Callithrix jacchus: one gene and its partners. The protein of the gene in region 1 purifies or fractionates together with the protein of each later gene. This does not show direct contact. Links are inferred from orthologs where the notes say so. Each region holds a gene or a part of one and is shown in the gene's direction. Other genes may lie near its edges. The genes, in order: MAPK6, ECI2, CEP170, UBE3A, NEURL4 and ECH1.

The links.
Region 2: the proteins of MAPK6 (region 1) and ECI2 purify together in Homo sapiens (affinity purification with mass spectrometry; 3 studies listed by BioGRID and IntAct, with this or other methods). This does not show direct contact. The link is inferred for Callithrix jacchus from reciprocal best matches to the Homo sapiens genes MAPK6 and ECI2.
Region 3: the proteins of MAPK6 (region 1) and CEP170 purify together in Homo sapiens (affinity purification with mass spectrometry; 3 studies listed by BioGRID and IntAct, with this or other methods). This does not show direct contact. The link is inferred for Callithrix jacchus from reciprocal best matches to the Homo sapiens genes MAPK6 and CEP170.
Region 4: the proteins of MAPK6 (region 1) and UBE3A purify together in Homo sapiens (affinity purification with mass spectrometry; 3 studies listed by BioGRID and IntAct, with this or other methods). This does not show direct contact. The link is inferred for Callithrix jacchus from reciprocal best matches to the Homo sapiens genes MAPK6 and UBE3A.
Region 5: the proteins of MAPK6 (region 1) and NEURL4 purify together in Homo sapiens (affinity purification with mass spectrometry; 6 studies listed by BioGRID and IntAct, counting the BioPlex papers as one, with this or other methods). This does not show direct contact. The link is inferred for Callithrix jacchus from reciprocal best matches to the Homo sapiens genes MAPK6 and NEURL4.
Region 6: the proteins of MAPK6 (region 1) and ECH1 purify together in Homo sapiens (affinity purification with mass spectrometry; 3 studies listed by BioGRID and IntAct, with this or other methods). This does not show direct contact. The link is inferred for Callithrix jacchus from reciprocal best matches to the Homo sapiens genes MAPK6 and ECH1.

Annotation. Positions count from the first base shown.
Region 1 is NC_133509.1:39,734,697-39,738,196, forward strand, and holds part of MAPK6 (mitogen-activated protein kinase 6), read left to right. Parts: intron 1-214; coding exon 215-359; intron 360-3,500. UniProt on the Homo sapiens protein: Atypical MAPK protein. Phosphorylates microtubule-associated protein 2 (MAP2) and MAPKAPK5.
Region 2 is NC_133505.1:26,392,816-26,397,099, forward strand, and holds the start of ECI2 (enoyl-CoA delta isomerase 2), read left to right. Parts: upstream 1-1,484; 5' UTR 1,485-1,491; coding exon of another isoform or gene 1,492-1,535; intron 1,536-1,676; exon of another isoform or gene 1,677-1,953; intron 1,954-2,007; 5' UTR 2,008-2,154; coding exon 2,155-2,330; intron 2,331-3,521; coding exon 3,522-3,684; intron 3,685-4,284. UniProt on the Homo sapiens protein: Able to isomerize both 3-cis and 3-trans double bonds into the 2-trans form in a range of enoyl-CoA species. Has a preference for 3-trans substrates.
Region 3 is NC_133520.1:42,946,952-42,950,451, forward strand, and holds part of CEP170 (centrosomal protein of 170 kDa), read left to right. Parts: intron 1-1,737; coding exon 1,738-2,214; intron 2,215-3,500.
Region 4 is NC_133507.1:4,598,063-4,601,096, forward strand, and holds part of UBE3A (ubiquitin-protein ligase E3A), read left to right. Parts: intron 1-2,750; coding exon 2,751-2,894; intron 2,895-3,034. UniProt on the Homo sapiens protein: E3 ubiquitin-protein ligase which accepts ubiquitin from an E2 ubiquitin-conjugating enzyme in the form of a thioester and transfers it to its substrates.
Region 5 is NC_133506.1:73,812,029-73,816,113, reverse strand, and holds the start of NEURL4 (neuralized-like protein 4), read left to right. Parts: upstream 1-1,285; 5' UTR 1,286-1,366; coding exon 1,367-1,648; exon of another isoform or gene 1,649-2,360; intron 2,361-2,839; coding exon 2,840-3,284; intron 3,285-3,493; coding exon 3,494-3,559; intron 3,560-3,706; coding exon 3,707-4,005; intron 4,006-4,085. UniProt on the Homo sapiens protein: Promotes CCP110 ubiquitination and proteasome-dependent degradation. By counteracting accumulation of CP110, maintains normal centriolar homeostasis and preventing formation of ectopic microtubular organizing centers.
Region 6 is NC_133523.1:34,385,852-34,389,807, reverse strand, and holds the start of ECH1 (delta(3,5)-Delta(2,4)-dienoyl-CoA isomerase, mitochondrial), read left to right. Parts: upstream 1-1,156; 5' UTR 1,157-1,164; coding exon 1,165-1,228; intron 1,229-1,749; coding exon 1,750-1,957; intron 1,958-2,110; coding exon 2,111-2,199; intron 2,200-3,521; coding exon 3,522-3,560; intron 3,561-3,956. UniProt on the Homo sapiens protein: Isomerization of 3-trans,5-cis-dienoyl-CoA to 2-trans,4-trans-dienoyl-CoA.

The DNA of each region.
Region 1 (3,500 bases):
AGCTGGGATGCTAGGCATGCACTACCATGCCAGGCTAATTTTTGTATTTTTAGTAGAGATAGGTTTCCCCATGTTGCCCAGGCTGGTCTCAAACTCCAGGTCTCAAGCAATCCACCCACCTCAGCTTTCCAAAATGCTAGGGTTAAAGTTTTAAGTGCTATTCTTTAGGTAAAGTAAAAAAAAGGTATGTATGTTATGTTTGTTTCTTTTGTAGGGTCATCTTTCTGAAGGATTGGTTACTAAATGGTACAGATCTCCACGTCTTTTACTTTCTCCTAATAATTACACGAAAGCCATTGACATGTGGGCAGCAGGCTGCATCTTTGCTGAAATGCTGACTGGTAAAACCCTTTTTGCAGGTTAGTATTTTGTGGGGAAAAAAGTTATCCCAAAGAGAAATAATTTTGCATTTATCTCTGAAGCAAGATCCACATAAGATTTAAAATAATTTGTTGTGATCTAGAATACTAAAATGAACAGATAAATTGGTGTTTTTATTTAAAAAATTGAGAAAACTTATTCACATATTTGCTAAATTGGTCACTTGATAAATTATCAGAACTCTAGTGTTCAGATATAATTTCATATGTTGTGGACCCATAATACTTGTTGGTAATTTGTGTTGATATTTGAGTTGCATAATTCTGTCAGTGTGGTCACTTCCTGGTGAAAATTTTAAGCTATTGTTGAAAATCCAACAAATGTTTCTTGGTCCCCTCCCTCTATAAATAAACAAGTAATTTTTTAAGTTTGGTGCTATTTAGAAGTGTAAAGAAGTATGTGAGAGAGAACTTTGTCAAGATGAGATAAATCATCCATGAAAAATGTCTTGTCATAAAGCAAAGCATGTGTCTGTATAAAATTATTTAATATAGACTAGAGCTATAAACTTAGAGAAGCTATGCATCAGTGATTGCTAGAATGGAAGGTATTATGGAGTCCAAAAGATTTTTCACTATTTAGAAATAGCGAGGAATTTTAACTGGGGAAGAGAGAAAATGTGTTATTTAAGGGTACCCATATAAATAAAAGCATAAGCCTAGGGCATTCATGAATCTGAGATTCATGCACGTTGTCAAATAACAATAAACATATTTATGACTAGTTAAGATGGGGTCCGAATACTAGAAAGTATTTTAGAAAGTAGGTAGAGGACTTTCCATTTGGAAAAGTAAAAAAAAAAAAAAAAGGGTTCTGAAAATTTTTTTAGTTGGGGAAGTGATGTGGTAGTGATTTAGGCCTTTTTCTGTCTTTTGACATTATTTTTTTGTTTTATTTTGTTTTGAGATGGAGTCTCGCTCTGTTGCCTTGGCTGGAGTGCAGTGGCAAGATCCCGGCTCACTGCAACCTCCGTCTCTCAGGATCAAGCAGTTCTTCTGCCCCAGCCTCCTGAGTAGCTGGGATTACAGGTGTGCACTGGCATGCCTGGCTAATTTTCTGTATTTTTAGTAGAGATGGGGTTTCACCATGATGGCCAAGTTGGTCTTGAACTCCTAACCTCATGATCTGCCTGCCTTGGCCTCCCAAAGTACTGGGATTACAGGGGTGAGCCACTGCGCCTGGCCTTGACACTACTTTTTTCCCCACTATAACAATTTTTAGAGTGGCCCTCCCCCGCCAACTCCTGGACTGTGGCAAGAGCAGAAGGAGAGGAATAGGCCAGGGTCTATTTACATACGAAAGATTAGTGTACATAGGAGAGCACTGGTTAAGAAAGGACAGCATGCATAAATGTCTTTTAAGTATATTAATGCCAGTACTTAGTTTATATAACATTGACCAGTCCTTTATAATTTTTTTTTTATATTTATGTAAAATTTCTGGCTTGGGTGCATGTGGTGGCTCATACATCCCAGCACTTTTGGGAGGCTGAGGTGGGTGGATCACTGGAGGTCAGGAGTTCAAGACCAGCCTGGCCAACATAGTAAAACCTCATCTCTACTAAAAATAAAATTAGCTGGGCGTGGTGGCTAACGCCTTTATCCCAGCTACTGGGGAGTCTGAGGCTGCAGTGAGCCAGGATCACACCATTGCAGTCAGCCTGAGCAACAGAGAATGACACTGTTTTAAAAAAAAAAATTGCTTGGCGTGGTGGCTCATGCCTGTAATCCCAGCACTTTGGGAGGCCAAGGTGGGCGGATCACAAGGTCAGGAGTTCAAGACCAGCCTGGCCAACATAGTGAAGGTCCATCTCTACTAAAAATACAAAAATTAGCCAGGCTTGGTGGCGTGTGCCTGTAATCCCAGCTACTTGGGAGGCTGAGGCAGGAAAATCTCTTGAATCCGGGAAGCTGAGTTTGCAGTGAGCCGAGATCACACCCCTGCACTCCAGCCTGGGCAACAGAGCAAGACTCTGTCTCAAGAAAAAAAATAAAGAAATTTTTTTTTTCCTAAGATGTGTGATAGTTTTCTAAATTGAAATTCAATCACTATGAAAAAATATGAGGGATTCCTGGAAGCTAAATGATTAAATGGATTTTTTTTTTTTTTTTTTTTTTTTTTGCTTAAGAACAATACTGTGATTGGAGGTTTTGTTGCTGATATCAAGTGCCTTCCAGCATATACAAATAATTCCGTATTATTTGTTGTGGTGTGACAAATTACTCCAAAACTTAGTAGCTTAAACAACAAACATTTATTATTGTCTTAACAGTTTCTGCTTGTCAAAATGTGGGAGTGGTTTAGTTTTAGCTCAGGTTTTCTCAGTCAAGTTGTTGTTAAGGGCAGCAGTTACCTGAAGGTTTGACCAAGGCAGGAGGATCCACTTCTAGATAGCTTACTTACATGACAGTTACCAAGAGGCTTCGGTTCCTCACCATGTGAGCTTCTCCATAGGATTGCTTGAGTGTCTTCATAATATGGCAGCTGACTTCCTCTAGAACTAATGATTCAAAAGAAAGCAAGGAGAAAGCCAGTAAATCTTTTTAAAGTATACAGTTATATTTTTTAGTGTATTTACAGAGTTGTGTAACCATCACCAGAGTCTAATTTTGGAACACTGTCTTTGCTCCTAAAAGATCCTGCAACCATTAGCAGACACTTCTCATTTCCCCTTTTCCCCAGCTCCTGACAACCACTAATCTACTTTATGTCTCTGCGGATTTGCCTGCTCTGAATGTTTCATATAACATTTGGACTTTGTGACAGGCTTCTTTCATGTAGCAGTATTTTGTAGGTTCACCCATGTTGTGGCATATGTTAGTAATTTTTTCCTTTTTATGGGCAAATAGTATTCTGCTATATTAATATACCATGTGTTGTTTATCCATTCATCAGTTGATGGACATGTGGGTTTCTACTTTTTCTTAATTATGAATAATGCTGCTGTGAATATTTGTGTGCAAGTTTTTGTGTGAACATGTTTTCAGTTCTCTTGGGTATATGTACCTAGGATTGGAATTGCTGAGTCGCGTGGTAAATCTTTGAAGAACAGTTTTCCAGCACAGCTGTACCATTTTACATTCCCGCCAGCAATGTATGAGAGTTAAATTTTGTCTTTT
Region 2 (4,284 bases), on another chromosome or scaffold:
CCAACCACAGTGGGGACCAAGGGCTGAGAAAATAACTCCCCTCTCTGTAACTGGTGCCTATGTTATTTATCAGCCTTGAAAATGTTGCAAAATAATGTTTTTCCTGCAGCCCAAGGACCTGCTCTGAGGCACGTAGACCACGTTTGTACAATCTAGACCCAACCCTTAGAAATACCTCTGTCACCCGAGTGACTTACTGCCTTTGTTTAACTTCTGTAATTCTTTCTCTTTTCCCTTCCACATGTAAATTAGCAAATCAATGAAGGCCAACGACTGTAAGGTCAGATGTCCAGCCAATAGGCAATGACAGTTTTACCTTTGCTCCCCCCTTGGGTTGTATGCCTTTAAAAAGAGAAAAAAACTGCTTTTCGGGGAGCTCTGTTTCTGGACTCGAGTCCACCAATGCTCCACAGCTAGCTCTTCCTTCCTTACTCGCGTGTCTGAAGAGCTCTGTCACCGGCTCATCCTGCAACATGCCCACCTGCAAGTGTCATGCCTTTGGGCAAGTCACCGGATTAATCTTTCTGGGTCTGTTTCCACATCAGTTCAACAGGGCAATATGCTCAACAGGGCAATATCATTTTCCTTACAGTGTTGTTGAAAGAATTACAATTAGCCTGGCTCACTATAGGTAGTCCACAAGTGTCAGCTACATAAATCTAAAACGCCTAGGCATGCTTGAATAGCACACCTGGGGCACCGGATTTAGAGGGGTGGTTTTGTTTTGTTGTTTGATTCTCTGGGAACTGGACAAGGTGGCACAGCCAAGGCCCTTCCAACTTTTAAGAATTCTTCCCCAAAGAAAATACTTTGCAAATGCCTCAGCACAACTCAAAAATATCCAAACTCTGACACTAAAGAGTTGGATACCTCACAAATCACTTCTGATCCTCCGGCGTCCTACCAGGTCTGCAGGCCTTCGATTTGGGGGTGCATGACATAGCCGCTTTTAAGCACACGCCCTCAATTGCTATCCCGCCTCCCGGCTCACGGCTGGCCCTCGGGACGCAGCGACCCCTCCTCGCCAGGCTCCCCAGGGCCCCGGGCAGGGGGCTCCGAGCTCCGGCAGCCGCAGAGTTCTCAGAGCTGAGGTCCGCCGGAGGGAGCAGCCGGGCCCCAGGTCGCAGATTCTTGGAGCCAGGCCCGGAAGCATTTGTGCCCTGCCCCACGCGCCGCTGAGGTCCTTCCCGGGTCAACGTCCCCGCGCCCCACGCCCTTCTTCCACTCCGGGAATACCCGGCCCCGCTCCCCGCACCCAACTCCGGCCCCGCCCCCGCCCCCGCATCTCAGCCCCGCCTCCTAACTGCCTAGAGCCCCGGTCCCGCCCACGCCCCGCCTCGGGTTCCGGCTTCACTTTCAGCCTGACCCCGCCCCCAGCCCTGGTCGTTCTCCGCCCTTCCCCACCCCCGAGCCTCGGCAGTCCCAGAGCCCCGGCCCCGCCCCCGAACCCCGCCGCCTTAGAGCCCCGGACGCCCAAGGTCGGGGCTAGATATGGCAAACCCGGCCTGGAGACTGGCGCAGCGTTCGTGTCCGAGGTAAGCCTGGAGCCCCGGCCGCCCTGCCCAAGGTCGCCCACAGGAGACGGCTGTCCAGGCGAAGGTCGCCGCCGGTGGGAGCGCCCCCCCGCCGTTATCTTGTCTGGGTGGCTACAGAATTTTGTTTTGCTGGTTTTCCAGCGAGAGTTCGCTGGAGTGACCACCTAACGCGCGCGCCCTCCTGCACCGCTGGGCCCAGAGTGGTCAGGATGGACGCGTCGTGAGATCAGGGCTGCGGCTCTCTGTTCCCAGTCCCCGAGGTCTCCGCCGGCGGCCGCGCAGTGCTCCCATCCTCCTGGGGCCGGACTCCGGGCCCTGGAGCCGCCCCCGCTGGGCACGGTGCTTCTTCCGGCGGCCGGGCCTGCACTTCCCAGCCGGGATGCTTCTGGGGTGCAAAGCGTTGCTTGCTAAAAGTGAGGTAAACGTAAGCAGTTATCACTCGTGTGGACTTAACGCTCTTTGCTTTTTGGAGAACACGTATGCAGTGAAGCGAAGTGGCCGTGTGCGCGGCGACGGCTAGGAAGCGCGCTCCACCTCCCTGGGATGCGGGGAACCCAGCCCGAATCCGTGTATAGGGAACAAAACCGGAACATGATGGTGACCTTGAAGTGGTGGAATTATGAGTGATTTTCCAGACCTTAGGTATTTTCCTATATGGTCGTGTTTTTGCAATTTGTTTTTAAAACTCACGCATTATTTAAAAATAAATTTGTTCCACATTTTGTGGAAACGCACATTTCGGCTTTCTGTGGACACTTTAAATTTTTCTTTCGTTTTCTGCTTGGAATTTGTCATGTAAGTTGCAGTTTTTCCCTTTACAGAAAAGCAATTTAATATAAAACTTACTGTAGGCCGGGCGTGGTGGCTCACGCCTGTAATCCAAGCACTTTGGAGGCCAAGGCGGGCGGATCACCTGAGGTCGGGAGTTCAAGACCAGCCTGACCAACATGGTGAAACCCCGTCTTTAAAAAATAAAGAAAAAAAAAAAAAAACTTACTGTAGACTGATCTTACTGAATCAATTACTAAGTCCAAGGTTTGAACCTAGAGTTCATTGTACCATTTTCTAGTTACATAATTGTGTTTGGGGGGTGATACATGTTAGGTTTGAGCTTTGTAACCTGTATTATTTTAATCATCTTTGATGCCATTAACTTCCTTATTCAGGGTCATCGTCGTGAACATTCATGTTTTGCTTGTGGCCTGAGTCCTTTGAAGTTTGCCACCCCACCCCTGTTCACTGTGTATGCTTAAAAACGTGCTGATCACCCCGCGGTGCTTGCTGTTTCTGCTCTGCTCCTGGCTGGCTGGCTAAACAGCCCCATAGAAAGGGACAAGCCTGCTGAGCCCGCTTCACTGACTCCCTTGCGCTGCAGATAGATTCCCTCCCACCTGCTGAGAAGGCTGTGGCTCTGTCTGGAATGCCATCATCTGTACATAATGTCCTTTTGAACATTTCTTGTATGTTCAGCCATTCTCCCCTCCTATCACCTGTGTATATGTTGGATCACCGGTTTTGCCAGCAAAGAGGGAAAAATTGACCTGATATTAGTTTATGGGTTGTTTAGCAGTGAGTGCAGAAGCTGTTTTAGGACTTTGGGACACTGCACTAAATTCTGTGCACTTAGCCTTTGGTCTCCTGCTGTTCACTATCTTGCATGCTTTTCATTTACTTCTTGCCTATGGCAAAATTTACATAGTCATTCCTGTTTTGGCTGCTTTTATCTTTAATTGCTTACAAATACCTCACTGGATGGTTACTTTTCCCTTTATTTATTTATTTTATTTACCATGAGCTTCTGTATTGATTTCTTATCTTGAAATCCTTACAGCCAATTATTTGCAGCCAGTTTGCTAGGGCAAGTATAAAGAAAATATTTATGGACAAACATGGGATTTTGCTATGTATGGGCTGGGAACAATTAGAAATCAGGCTGCAGAAATGTGAGGGTTGGGAACAAGTAGACATCAGTCTGCCTCATTGTAGTCATCTGCAGGTTGTTAGTTTCCCAGTAGTTCAGCTGCACATGAATAGAACAGCAATGAGAGCCAGTCAGAAGGACTTTGAAAATGCAGTGAATCAAGTGAAACTCTTGAAGAAGGATCCAGGAAACGAAGTGAAGCTAAAACTCTACGCACTGTATAAGCAGGTAAATGCCAACTGTCTGACATTATTTAAAGAATGTTGGGCAAATGACTCCTTAAATAGATACACTGTGTGTTTACTAAAATGTAGCCTTAATATTTTGGGTTTGTCTTGCTCCCTCTTAAGAGTATATATATATATGTGTGTGTGTCATTTTTTAATATTACCTTGAAATACTATTAATAAAGTAACCCCTCTGTGTCATGCCAGAGTAAAAGAGACTTACGAAATATAATATTCAAATTTGTAGACCTTATTTGGCTCTTAATTGGAATAAACCAATTGAAAAAGATATTTTTAAGACAATTGGGGAAGTTTTGAATAAGGACAGAGTATTAGAAGATGCTTAGAAATCATTGTTAATGGTGTCAAGGTTACATAAATGTTGATATTTTTAAGAAATGGGTACTAAGGATATAGAGGTGAAACAGCATGGATAGTTGAAGTTCTCTAAGCACAAAAAGAAAGAAAGGGATAGATGAGGCCAGGTGTGGTGGCTCACACCTAATTCCAGCATTTGGGAGGCTGAGTCGGGTTGATCCCTTGAGGTCAAGAGTTCGAGACCAGCCTGGCCAACATGGTGAAGCTCTGTCTGTCCTAAAAA
Region 3 (3,500 bases), on another chromosome or scaffold:
GTTAATACATTTTATTCTAATGGAAATTTTAACTGACATGACTTAAGAGTAAACACTCAAAGTCCAGGTGAACATTTTATTTTTAAGAAAAAAGATAACTCTTTAATCAAACATTTTTTTAAAACTTTAGTTCATGTTGTATAAATGTATAATTATTTCTATGATAATGTAGAGTTTTTCCAATACTATTCTTTCATTTTCAGTGATAAGGAAAACTGAGTAGATTTTGAAAGGGATAATTTTTTACAGTGAAAATTATAATATATTCTTTAATATTACTTGTTATCTTTGCCTCCTGTTTAGATTTCTTTTTACAATTCTTGTTATTATCTTTATTGTGAAAATGGGGCTTCACGTCTTCAGTGCCCTATCCCACACATTTGATTACTACAGGGAAGTTATTGTAGCATTCTTCTGTAACCTAAAAGCAGTCAAGATTTTTTTATTATATTCAGACTACTGTCAAGAAACCAATTATAGTACCTGACAGATCCCACTAAGATTTAATCTTTATAAAGATGTTTCAAAAGACCAGATGCTTCACTAAATTAGAAAATGTTTGGAAACAACCTTGTCTCTGTGTACTGCCTTGTTTTCCTAATAAGTTGTCTGTAAATGATTTTTCTGTCAATCTGTTTAAAAGCAGAATGGATTCTTGACCTTTAGGGAAATAAATCTCATTTGAACTTTCTCTTCATCTTGATAATGGACATGCTTCTTTTGCTTCTTCAACAACAGCACAATATCATCTTTAATTTTTTTTCTTTTGCATTTACGCTATCTAATAACATACTGAAAACATTTTAGTTACCATTTCCATTTATGTATTTTATTCGTAAATGCATCTATTTTTATACTTTTATATTAGATTCTGAGGCAATAGAAGAATAGTGATAGTGTTTCAGAGTTGCCTGCTCCTTCTGTCAACTCATGTTAATCTGAGGTTTACAGTTCAGCTTTCCTCCAAGGATTTTTGACACTTGCGCACATTCTGCTGCATAGAAATGCAAATTGATTTTCTTCCAGAGTTATTGTCTGGAAACTGAATTTTCTGTTTTAACCTTATTTCTTTAACACTGCTGCTTGGATTGCAAACCACACATTTCAGTCTTTATAAAATGTTGGTATCTTCTTGCAAGGATCACACTTGGCAACTTCTTTGTCATTCTAAAAGTCATGTTTCTGAATGTAATGATGAAGAATGGTAAGTGGAATCATTATTTCCTGAAGATCACTCACGTATTTACTTTATGTTTGTATTCTCAATTGAGCACCTGTTCTCCTTTGGAGCACTACATGTGTTCATATATATTTCAGATATCTCATCTTGGTGACTTGAGAAGGAAGTTCATGGTTTTTCTGTCACTTTTTATGTATACATTGAACATGCATCTCCATCTGCATTTAATTTTAATTCTTTTGCACCTTGATGAATTCTAGATCTGAGTTGGAAAAAATATGGACCTAGCCACAGAAGATCCATTTCTTAACTGCTTTGTTCTCATTTGCCATTACTACTGCTTATCTTGCATCCCCTATTGGTAATCAAATAGCATGTTTTTAACGAAGATTCTTTCTGCTCTGTGACACTTTTTCTGTGATATAAATGCCACTGGGTCATCCAGACTATGATCTGCCATCTGGTTCTCACGGAGTAGTACACATGGCCATTACCAGACTCCTTCAAGTACCAGAAGCAATCAAATATTTTGAATTTTCTCTTATTTTTCTCATTAGGGTGCAGCATAGATGCCAAGCAAGTTGAGGAACAATCTGCAGCCGCAAATGAAGAAGTACTTTTTCCTTTCTGTAGGGAACCAAGTTATTTTGAAATCCCTACCAAAGAATTCCAGCAACCATCACAAATAACAGAGAGCACTATTCATGAAATCCCAACAAAAGACACACCAAGTTCCCATATAACAGGTGCAGGGCATGCTTCATTTACAATTGAATTTGATGACAGTACCCCAGGGAAGGTAACTATTAGAGACCATGTGACAAAATTTACTTCTGATCAACGCCACAAGTCCAAGAAGTCTTCTCCTGGAACTCAAGACTTGCTGGGGATTCAAACAGGAATGATGGCACCAGAAAACAAAGTCGCTGACTGGCTAGCACAAAACAACCCTCCTCAAATGGTTTGGGAAAGAACAGAAGAGGATTCTAAAAGCATTAAAAGTGATGTTCCAGTGTACTTGAAAAGGTTGAAAGGTAAAGTGATTTGATCATTCAGAACTTCCTGTTTTGTGATAAAGGAAATCTAGTCTTCAGTTACTATGCTACTTTTAGAGAATTACATGGTAGAAAACGTTCTGCTTTTTTCAAAGGTTATATTTAATTTTAAAACTCAACATGAAGCCACACTGCTCATGTCCCACTTCCTCATTCAAAATTGTCTTTCTTCATTTCTTTGACAAAACCAGATTGGATTTATGAGCTTATATTTATGCTGTAAAATATGTTTCTTTTTCTTCCTGGACATATATAATTTATTAAGTTCACCAGTAGAATTTTCTAGAAGACGAGTTCCATCATTTTCTTGATTTAAGGAAAATATGTATTCAATTCTGTTCTCTATTATGATCAATTTCTAGATTTTGAAAGAAATTTTAAGCCATTCGGTGTGAGCCAAAAGTTCCGCTTGGGTAATACAGTCAAATCATGGATGAAGTGCTTTAAAGTATTCTCAGTGGCTACTCATAAAACAGAGATTTTTGGTTTAGAAATATTTGGTAGGATCTATTAATCCAGTTTAAAAATTTTTAATATTCAGACTTAAGGAAAATTAGAGTTGAATGTTTATTTTTGAAATAGTTATATATACTTTATTTGTGTAGAACTTGGCCAAAATTAGCAAAATTTGTATGTTTGTACATTTATGTATCAGCTGATCAGGTTTTTTTCTCATTGTTTTTACCAATTGAATTTATTTTAGAATTACTGAATATACATTTATGTTACTCTATCTTATTTTAATTTAACAAGCTTTCTATAAGGAAAATGACTTTGAACAAATTGTGATTATATGTTTATCTGACCATTCTGTCACTATATTAGGAGTTTTTGTGCTCCTGATACTTTATCTGGTACTCAAGCAGGTGATAGGTACTCATTTGAATAAACAATGGGTAACTTCTCTGTCAGTGACAAGACTAGGCTTGATTTAATCTATACCTTATGCCCTGGCATTCGAACAAGTAATGAAGAAATAGTATTCGTATACTTATTTCTGATTTGCTTCTAAGACATTTCAGGACTGTGAGATGATGTGATTACCTAATAATTATTTGGATTGGAGCCTATTATAATATTTAATTATAATTATCAGCAATTACCTGGCATATGTATTTTTGAGACATGATTGTGACCTTCTGGAAAATACATAACTGAGACATTTTATTTATATTTATATAATTTATATGTATATAGGTTAACACTCACAAATAGGCTCTTTATATGAATCGGATAAATAATACTGATATCCTACCTAGTACAGT
Region 4 (3,034 bases), on another chromosome or scaffold:
GCTAAACATGGGAAATTTGTTGAACCATTGCTTCCTCAGATGTTCCTTCGGTGTCATTCTTATCTCCATTCTAGTAGGCCTCTGACAATACAGATGTTGAGTCATCTGTTACTGTCCCACACGTACTTGAGGCACAGCTCATCTTTCACTCTGTCTTCTCTCTTTTGTTCAGATTTCTATCCTTCGTCATCTTCTCTCTGCTGTTGGGCCCATCTAATGATTATTTTTCGCTTATTGTATTTTTTAGGTCTATAATTTCCATTGGCTTTTTTTTCCTTATAACTTCTGTTTCTTTGCTGAGATTTTCTATTGTTTCATTTTTGAAACAGTAGAACTTATAATTGCTTGTCAAATCATTTCTATGATGGCTGCATTAAGATCCTTGTCAGATAATTTCAACATCTTACTCATCCCAGTGTTGGCGTTGATTTTCTTTCCTTCGTGTGATTTTCCTGGTTCTTGGTATGACAGATGTGTGAGGAGACTGTCCTTCTAAAAATTGTTACTTCGGTGGTAACCTGTTGAGGTTTGGCGCATGTTTGTGGACTGTGGTTCCAGTGACCCTTTTCAGAGCCTTTGTGGTGCTGTTTTGGTTTGTTGCTTTTATGTTACTCCGCTGGGGCTTTCACTGGTTCCGAGTGGTCCTGCTTGAGGGGGCTTCTCCAAGCTGATCTGTGTAGAGTGTGTTTGGGTGGGGGAAGAGGGACCCCCCACTAGATTTTCGTGGGCTGGAGAGTGCTTCCTGAGCCTTGTGCCTATCGTGGCAAGCTCTCCCATGCCTGGTGTTCCTGGCAGTGCTCCTGCCTGCTGTGTGTCCCTGGGCTATAGATCACTTGCAGGAAAAGTGAACACTGCCAGACCAATTAATTATATGAGAATTCCTCCTACCCCAAGGAGAGTCTCAGGCATCGCTTCATTTCTTTTTTTAGATGTTTCTTCTGTCTTCAGTTTATATGGTACTATTGTTGTGCTTTATTCACTTTTATATTTCTTCTACTTTAGTTTTAGTTTCTTTGCATTTGATGTGATCTTTCTCCTTGCCTTTTTTTTTGTTTTTTTTGAGACAGAGTTTTGTTCGTTACCCAGGCTGGAGTGCAATGGCGCGATGTCAGCTCACCACAACCTCCGCGCCTCCTGGGTTCAGGCAATTCTCCTGCCTCAGCCTCCTGAGTAGCTGGGATTACAGGCACGCGCCACCATGCCCAGCTAATTTTTGTATTTTTAGTAGAGATGGGGTTTCACCATGTTGACCAGGATGGTCTTGATCTCCTGACCTCATGATCCACCCACCTCGGCCTCCCAAAGTGCTGGGATTACAGGCGTCAGCCACTGCACCCGGCCGCCAGGAATTCTAATAAAGGTTTTAATTTATTTCAGATTAATGGTGTTGTAGCAACAAAAATGCCAGCATTTTGATAATAAAAATAGTATGTTGGAATATTAGAGTATCAAAAACTAGAAAAAATATATATAATTACTGATTTGGGATGTGTGATGTTCTCTGCTAACCATTCTGGAAAGAACTTTTTCTTTTTTGGTGGGGAAGTGGGGTGGAGTTTTGCTCGTTTCCCAGGATGGAGTGCAGTGGCGTGACCTCAGCTCATTGCAGCCTCCACCTCCTGAGTTCAAGTGATTATCCTGCCTCAGCCTCCCAAATAGCCAACAAACCCAGCTAATTTTTCTGTATTAGTAGAGGCAGGGTATTTCACCATGTTTTTCAGGCTGGTCTTGAACCCCTCACCTGAGGTGATCCACCCACCTCAGCCTCCCAAAGTGCTGGGATTACAGGCGTGAGCCACTGCACCTGGCTCTGGAAATAGCTTTGTAAATAAATATTAAGAGGCATTTTATATTTATAACCAACTAAAAATACTTTCGTTGAATCTTAAAATTATTTAGCTATGAACTACTGTATATTTTATAGATGCCTGATTATTCAAACAGACTTCAAGATAGCACTTCATGAGCTTGCATTTCACATTTTAGAACTGTAACATTAAGTGTCATTTAAACATGGCTTTATTACGCAGATTTTAGGAATGCCACAGGGATAAATCATTCTCTTATAATAACTGCATTATTATATATTATATTATTTTATATTATATGGGAGAAATGTCAGAATAATTCTCCTCCGTACACAGCACATGTTAGTTGATAAAAGTATTCTAGTTTATATAAAAATTGAACTGTTGTATTACTGCCATTAGGTATGTGGTGGTTTGAATTTGGCGCCAGGTGGGTTTGGGGGGCGGGGCGCTTTTTCTTTTGTCCTTAATCTGTATCACCACTTTTTCCTCCCAAAGTTGCGTTAAAGGATGAGTAGACCAGGAGAATAAAAGAGAAAGGATAAATAAAATATATACCCAAAGGCACCTGGAATTTTTCACAATATTCCTTTCAGTCTTTTTCAATTCATAGGATTTGGTCTTTTGTTCATTACTGACCACGTGAAGTGATTACAACATAGTTTACATAGTCACTTCCTGTTGTTACACACTTGGGTTTTCTCAGTTTTTTTTTTACTACTGCAGTACTAATATTTTGCTGCATTACTTTAATCCTAAATTGTTATGTATTCAGAACTGTTTACGGAAAATTTGTTTGGAAATTCTCAGTCACCAGAAGAGTTCCTGATATTAACTTCCAAGTTGCCTCTTAATATAGTTTTAGTTTAAATCATAAGTTTATATTAGTACCAGTTATAATGAATGCCAAGCTGAAACCAGTATTGTATCTTTTCTCATTAGGGAGTTCTGGGAAATCGTTCATTCATTTACAGATGAACAGAAAAGACTCTTCTTGCAGTTTACCACAGGCACAGACAGAGCACCTGTGGGAGGACTAGGAAAATTAAAGATGATTATAGCCAAAAATGGCCCAGACACGGAAAGGTAATTATTAAGTTGTGACTATATATCCACTGAAAACCTTCCATTCCCCGTCATACATGTATGAACTGTCTTTGTAGCTTCTAAGCACATTCGTGATTTTATATACAAATCTCCAAATCATATTAAACAGTTAAGAAAAT
Region 5 (4,085 bases), on another chromosome or scaffold:
TGACTGGGCCCGGAACCAAGGACAACTATCCCCGTGGAGCGCCAGCTTGCACCAGTACTGCGAGTTAAACTGCCTTCTGAGAGCACTAGGGGCCTAGAACCGTGAAACAAGACTACTCCGGAAGGCTGCCCAGCGCCTGCCTCGATTTCTCTCACCGCTCGGGGCACTCCTCCCGCTGCCCCTCCAGGGGAGTCCCGGCTGAGGCCGCCAGTAGCCCCTAGGGACTCCACCTTCTCCGAGGCCCCACCCGGGGGCCGCTCTCAGCGATCCCGCCCCGCCTCCCGGCTCCACTAGCCGCGCCCCTAGCCCCGCCCCCACGTAGGGCCGGCCAGGGGTGCTCCGGCAGAGTGCCGGGTCCCCTTCTCCTCTGCTCCCGAGCCGCGGCGGGTGGAATCGAGACTCGGGCTGGAAGTCCCTCCACTCGCCCCTTTCCTTTGTTCCACCTAAAGACTCTTCCTTTGTGCGATTTGTTCCCGCCCTTCTCCATCACCACCCTCATCCAAATCAGCCAATCCCAGTCAGGGGGCCAGGCCAGGGGGCGAGAAGCTCGATTGTGACGTCACGGTCCTTCAGCCTGAGGGTGAGCGTCGGGGAGTTGGGCTGGGGGCTTAATGGCCCTAGGGGAGATTTTTTTGGGGTCCTCAGCGCCGTTGCTCGAAACTGCCTGTCAGGATTCTTTAGACTATTTTTGGCCTTAACATCGACTAGTTTGGTTGAGTTGGAGTTGAGGCTGAGCTTGACTTGAAATATCAGCGAGCTTCCCCCAGCCCCGCCAGTCGGCTCGCTCGGTCTCTCCGGAGAGTTGTGAGGCAAAGTAGAGGGATTGCGGCACTGTCGCAAGACACGTTGATCTCAGTGACCTTGCGGGCATAGACTTTCACTACCACTTCCCGGGGTCCTCCAGACTCGGCTCAAGCTGTTTCGGAGCGTGCAGCCAGAAGGGACTCACTCCCCCCTCTTGCCGTAAAGCGAGTGCTTCAAGGTGTCTCCTCCCCCAAGCCAGGGCGGAGTTGTCGGTACCGCTGTCGCAAAGCAGAAAGTGTTTAGACTCCAGCACCCCACCGTCGTAAAGATGCTTGCGGTGGGCGTGTCTTCCACTGTCGCAAAAGCTCCCTTCCCAAGTCTTCGTCCCTCTCGGAGCCACTCCGTCACCCCGCTATGCCGTAAAGTGAGCCTCCCGACCTCGTTGTCCTTCGGTTCTCACCGTGGTCGTCCCCAGCTCCTAGCTCGGGCTGCTTCATTGCCCAGCAGTGCCGTAAAGCATACCTGGCCTCAGCCCCCGGTCGTATTCCTCAGGGTGTCTGCCCGCCGCGGTTGCCACGGTGCCGCCAAGCGCGGCTGTCGCGCTGCCCCGGTGTCAGCGGAGATGGCGGCGGGGTCGGGTGGGAGTGGGGGCTCTGGGGGAGGCCCCGGACCGGTGCCGGGCGGGGGTGGGGGCCCCAGCGGAAGCAGCTCAGGACCGGGGTCCAGCGGGGTTCTCAGTAGCGGCGGGGAGCTACATCCGCGTACTGGGCGCTTGGTGAGCCTGTCGGCCTGTGGGCGTACAGCGCGGCGGCAGCAGCCGGGCCAGGAGTTTAACCACGGGCTGGTGTTGAGCCGAGAACCCTTGCGCGATGGACGCGTCTTCACCGTCCGCATCGACCGCAAGGTGCAGCGCTGGGTTCGCGGAACCGAGATGTGGAGGGCGGTGGGAGGGGACTAGAGGGAGACGGGGTAGGACAGCCTGGGTAGCTCACATCGCCGGGCACCGAGGGAACCGAAAGGTGATAGAGCACCAGGGGACGGGCAGGAAGACAGCATGAATCAGAAACATTCAGTTTGAAGGAGAAGACATTAAGAGCTTGAGTTTTCTCAAGATCCAGAAGCAAAGAAGGGACACAAGGGCTAAGTCGCTAGACTGGCTGGGACTAGACCTCCTGGTACAATTTCTTGGGCGTGGAGGATGGAGAGATGTCAGAGATGCGATGGCAAGAGAAGAGAGATACCAAGGAACGAACAAACCTAATCCCAGCCCTTTGGGAGTCTGAGGTGGTCAGATCACTTGAGGTCAGGGATTCAAGACCAGCCTAGTAAATGTGATGAAACAACCCCGTCTCTACTAAAAATACAAAAATTAGCCATGCGTGGTGGCGTGCCCCTGTAATCCCAGCTACTCTGGAGTCTGAGGCGGGAGAATGGTTTGAACTTGGGAGGCGGAGGTTGCAGTGAGCCGAGATCGTGCCACTGCACTCCAGCCTGGGCAACAGAATGAGTGAGACTCTGTCTCAAAAAAAACCAAAAAAACAAAAACAACAACAACAAAAAAAACCCAGCAATAACAAACCATTGAAGGACAAACTCACAGGCTGTGCCAGAAAGAGGTGAGGAGAACTATCCAGGGTGAGGGAGGTGTGTGTGATTCACTGAAGAGGCTACACTCACAGAAAAAGAACTTGGGAGAAGGCTGAATCTGGGTAGAGCCTGATCCTTGGAGAGAATTAGGCCAAGGGAAGGGAATGATACACAAGAGCAAGAGGTGTGGGTATAGGAAGTTGGTGAATTTGGATGGTTGGAGAGCCATAGAGACCAGGGAAGTCAGAGGAGACAGGAGGCTAGAACTAAGGAACGCTTGTTTGGCTTGGAAAGGAGTGGTGCGGTAAACACTGAGTAGAAAGCAGAGTTGCTAAAGGAAAGAAAGCCCAAATAATTACCAAGCCAGAGTCCAGAAAATTACTATTTGCATCTCTGGATTAGTGTTCCAAGAGAAAGCCAGTTAGCTATCTGAGAGGTGGGAAGATATGGTAGTCTGTGGAATAAGGGGTGGCCCATTTTAAGCCTCTGTCCACTACCCCTATCCCAGGTCAACTCCTGGAGTGGCTCCATTGAGATTGGGGTGACAGCGCTGGATCCCAGTGTGCTGGACTTTCCAAGCAGTGCCACAGGGCTGAAGGGGGGCTCATGGGTAGTGTCAGGCTGCTCTGTGCTGAGAGATGGACGCTCTGTGTTGGAGGAGTATGGTCAGGACCTGGACCAGCTTGGCGAAGGGGACCGTGTGGGCGTGGAGCGCACAGCTGCTGGGGAGCTGCGGCTCTGGGTGAATGGGCGGGATTGTGGAGTGGCTGCCACAGGCCTGCCCCCTCGTGTCTGGGCTGTCGTGGACCTTTATGGCAAGTGCACCCAGATCACTGTGCTACCCTCTGAGCCAGGCTTCAGCCCCCCTACTCCCATCCCCACACCTCCCCTCGAGCCCTTGGCCCCCCTTGAAGACTCTGCCTTGGCTGAACAGGGGACCTCTGCTGATGAAGGTAAGAAAAGAGCTAGGGCAGTGGTGGCGGGGTGGGGATGGAATGGGGGAAATAACAGTGACAAGACAGGCTGGGTGTGGGCAGGGCCATTCTGATCCCCAAGTCTGTTGAATGGGAGAGCGGGAGCTAGAAGATGGGGGGTCTCCTGGCTGTGGGCCCTGAATTAGGGACTGAACCCTTATTCCCCTCCCATCCTACCTGGTCCCCAGCCTTCATGGTGTCCCCAGCGCAGGCCCGGCCGGAGACGTTTCCTAACAGCCTTGAGTCGCATAATGGTGAGGGCTTTGGGGAGGCCCAGGGAAGGGGAGTGGGAAGTGAAGTGGACAAGGGAAGGCCCTCAGAAGAAGGGGTACAGAGAGAGGCACCAAGCCTGGGGGCATAGAGCCTCATCCCAGCTTTCTTCTTCCATCCTGCTGCTATAGACTTCGCCAGCATGGAGCTGTCCGAGGTGGTGAGCAACACCATCCTGTCTGCCTACAGTGGAGGGCTCCTGAATGTGAACCTGAGCTCCCCACCGGCAGGGGAAGGCCTGGGGTCTAGCGGTGCTGCCACCTCTCCCATTCTCACTTCCAACGATGCCCTGCTATTTCATGAAAAGTGTGGGACCCTCATCAAACTCAGCAACAATAATAAAACAGCTGAGCGCAGGCGGCCCCTGGATGAATTCAACAATGGGGTTGTCATGACCAACCGCCCACTTCGGGACAATGAGATGTTTGAGGTGTGCAAAGTCCTGTGGTCTGGTTGTCGCCTTGTCCCTGGGAGCTAAAGATGGGGCTTGGCCCTTGATGCTAGGAGGGT
Region 6 (3,956 bases), on another chromosome or scaffold:
TCAGAGTTTTCCATGATATAAACAGTCTGCTGTTGATGGGTAGTTAATAGTTCTGTCTTCCAAAAGAGCCTGTTTCTCTAGTCTGTGAAACCAGACAGGAGACAGGTTCATTAGAAAGAAAAGATACTTCCTTCAGTCCCATTGGCCCAGAGACATGTGTTCACCACCTTGCTCCGTGTCTCCCTAAGGAGCATACTTAAGCAGTTTTACAGTACTGTTTTATGCCCTTGGGTAACTGGCTTTTCCTAAGGGAGTTCCATTTTGTGTTTTTTAAGAACAGGAATTTTTTTTTTTTTTTTTTTTTTTTTTTGAGACAGAGTGTTGCTCTGTTGCCCAGGTTGGAGTGCACTGGAGCAATCTCGGCTCACTGCAACCTCTGCCTCCCAGGTTCAAGTGATTCTCTTGCCTTAGCCTTCCAAGTAGCTGGGACTACAGATGTGCGCCACCAGGCCTGGTTAATTTTTGTATTTTTAATAGAGACAGTGTTTCACCATGTTCACCAGGCTAGTCTCAAACTCCTGACCTCACATAATCCACCCGCCTCAGCCTCCCAAAGTGCTGGGATTACAGGTGTGAGCCACCACTCCCGGCTAAGAACATGAACTCTGGAGCCAGGTAATCATGCTTTAGCCTTTCTGAAGCCCAGCGACCTTGAACCTAGTGCGTTGCGGTGCCTGGGCCAGTTTCCTCTGCATACAGTGGGAAATAGTATGATCTCGTGGGAGTTCATATTATACAGTCAGCGCTTAATGTTGGCCCATCTGTACTCATTCCTTTACGTGGGTAAACTCACAGTCCTGCAAGTTTTTTTTCTTTTTAGTTTACTTGATATATACATGCATGATTACAAGCGCTGCTGCCATTATGTCCTTGAACTTTTCAGCTGTCACGAGTTATTCCATCATTATGAAACAGCACTGTGTTGAACGTCAGCGGGAACTATTTGCTTAGTCCAGGTTCCCACTGGGGCAAAGGGCAGTTTCTGAGTCTGGCTGTAATTGTGCCAGGCAACCGGAACTCGGCTGCCCTTAGTAAAGATGGCGGTACAAACGGCGTCATTGCTTGTCATGCTGTGGCATCGACGCCCTCGCTCAACATGGCGGCCTTTTGTGCCCGCCCCCTCGGCTAACGCGGGGGTTTGTGGGTCAGAATATTCAGTAGACGATGGCAGGAGCGATGGCGGCAGGAATGGTGGCTTCTCGCAGACTCCGCGACTTGCTGACCCGGCGTGAGTCACCTTTTGACTTGTGGGGGTCCATCGCGCTGTCGTGCTGTCATAGCAGCTGTAGGACGGGGAGGTCTATCCCGGGTCACAAAGGGCCCAAGCCCCCTAAACTCAGGGATCCCTGTGCTCCCTTCTGAAGGGCTCCTTAATTCTTTTTTTTTTTTTTTTTTTTTTTTTTGAGACTTAATTTTGCTCTTGTTGCCCAGGCTGGAGTGCACAGGCACAATCTGGGCTCACTGCAACCTCTGCCTTTCGGGTTCAAGCGATTCTCCTGCCTCAGCCTCCCAGGTAGCTGGGATTACAGGCATGCAACACCACGCCCAGCTAATTTTTTGTATTTTTAGTAGAGATGGGGTTTCATCATGTTGGTCAGGCTGATCTCCAGCTCCTGACCTCATGATCCGCCCGCTTCAGCCTCCCAAAGTGCTGGGATTACAGGCCACCGCACCAGGCCAGGGCTCCCTAATTCTATAGACCCGTGTCTTGCAGTCCAGGGTCATCAAAAGCTCTCCCTTTCTCCCCAGGACTGACAGCCTCCAACCACCCGGGCCTCGGTATTAGCCTTCGCCTCACTGGCTCCTCTGCACAACAGGAGGCCTCCGGAGTAGCCCACGGTGAAGCCCCAGACCACAGTTATGAGTCCCTTCGTGTGACATCTGTACAGAAACATGTTCTGCATGTTCAGCTCAATCGGCCCAACAAGAGGAATGCCATGAACAGGGCTTTCTGGAGGTCCGACCTGCAGATCTTGGAAGCCTGCCTGCACGGGGAGGTGGGGGCTGTGGGACTGGGCGAGAGTGGAGAGTGGAATGTGGGCAGGGGAGATGGACATGAGGACAGGGTATTTCCCACCCCATCTGTAGCCCTTTACTCATTGCTTCACAGAGAGATGGTAGAGTGCTTCAACAAGATTTCAAGAGACGCTGACTGTCGGGCAGTGGTGATCTCTGGTGCAGGAAAAATGTTCACTGCAGGTACTGGACTCTCCACTCTTCATGCCCACGCTACCAGCCTTCCTAGCTCCTGGCAATAGACAGTAGGGCAGCGCTTCTTAATTAGGGTTTTAAGCAGCTTCTAACTTACACTTATCAGTTTTTTTTTTTCTGAGACAGAGTCTCACTCTATCGCCCAGGCTGGAATACAGTGGCGCGATCTCGGCTTACTTCAACCTCTGCCGCCCGGGTTCAAGCAGTTCTCCTGCCTCAGCCTCCCGAGTAGCTGGAATTACAGGTGCCTGCCACTGTGCCTGGCTAATTTTTGTATTTTTAGTAGAGATGGGGTTTCACCATCTTGGCCGGCTGGTCTTGAACTTCTGACCTCATGATCCACTCACCTAAGCCTCCCAAAGTGCTAGAATTACAGGTGTGAGCCACCGCGCCTTTTTTTTTTTTTTTTTTTTTTTTGAAATGGGATCTTGCCCCTTCACCCAGGCTGGAGTACAATGGCCTAATCACAAATCACTGTAACCTCAAATACCTGGGCTCAAGCAAGCCTCTTACCTCAGCCTCCCAAAGTGCTGGGATTACAGGCAGGTGCCACCACAGCCAGCCCTATCATTTTTTTTTAAAGGCCTAATTTAAAACATTCAAATATAAAAATTAGTCCAACAGAACATGACGGGATCATAGCTCTGAAATCTGGGTTTCATCCTGGATCTCTGGCCATGAATAAGGTGCTTAACTTCTCAGAGTTTATGTTATATAATATAATAACATGCTTTCATGCAACTATTCAACTCACGAACTGATTTCCAGTTACATGTCAGTTAGATCTTTGGATTGACCCACTGGTCTGTTCTTCAGATTGGAGAATTTCCACTGATCACAGGTGCTAACTCTTCCTCCATCTCTACCCTCCTGTGAAGCACATCCAGTGATTTTTTTTTTTTTTTGAGACGGAGTTTCGCTCTTGTTGCCGGGGTAGTGGCCCGTTTGTTAAACGTGCACTCTGAATGAAGAGACCCTCCCCCAAACAGGCTTTGTGTGAGCAACATGGCTGTTTATTCATCCGGGTGCGGGTGGGCTGAGTCCAAAGAGAGTCAACACAGGATGGTGGGTTAGGAGTTGCTTTTATAGGTTTGGGGTAGGGTGGTGGAAAGTTACAGAAGTTACAGTTCAGGGTGGCTTTTGCGAGCTGGGAGGGGGTTGTAGGGTCTGGAGTCACAAGGTTGACCAGGGTCGGTCACAAAGTCCAGTTGCCTTATCAGTTGAGGTGGGAATAAGGAATACTAGAGCATCTCAGAGTTAATTAGGCACCGAAGGGGTTGATCATTCTTCACCTTTTCGTGGTTTTTCAGCTACTTCAGACTTTCCAGTTCCAGGAACTCATCTGGAGTGTACGTGCAGGTTAAAGAGATTACCATGGCATAGTCCATGGTGCAGTCAGTCAGCCTAAGAGACCTTAAACAGCGATCTTGGCTCACTGCAACCTCTGCCTCGTGGATTCAAGTGATTCTTCTGCCTCAGCCTCCCAAGTAGCTGGGATTACAGGTGCCCGGGAGCATGCCCCACTAAATTTTCTATTTTTGGTAGAGACAGGGTCTCACCATGTTGGCCAGGCTGGTCTTGAACTCCTGGCCTCAAGTGATCTGCCCACCTCGTCCTCCCAAAGTGCTGGGATTACGGGCATGATCCAGTGTGCCTGGTCAGTTATATATTTTTTTATTTGTCATGCAGATTTTTCTTTCTGCCATTGAGCATAATGACTGATTTAAAATCTTTGTCACCTAATC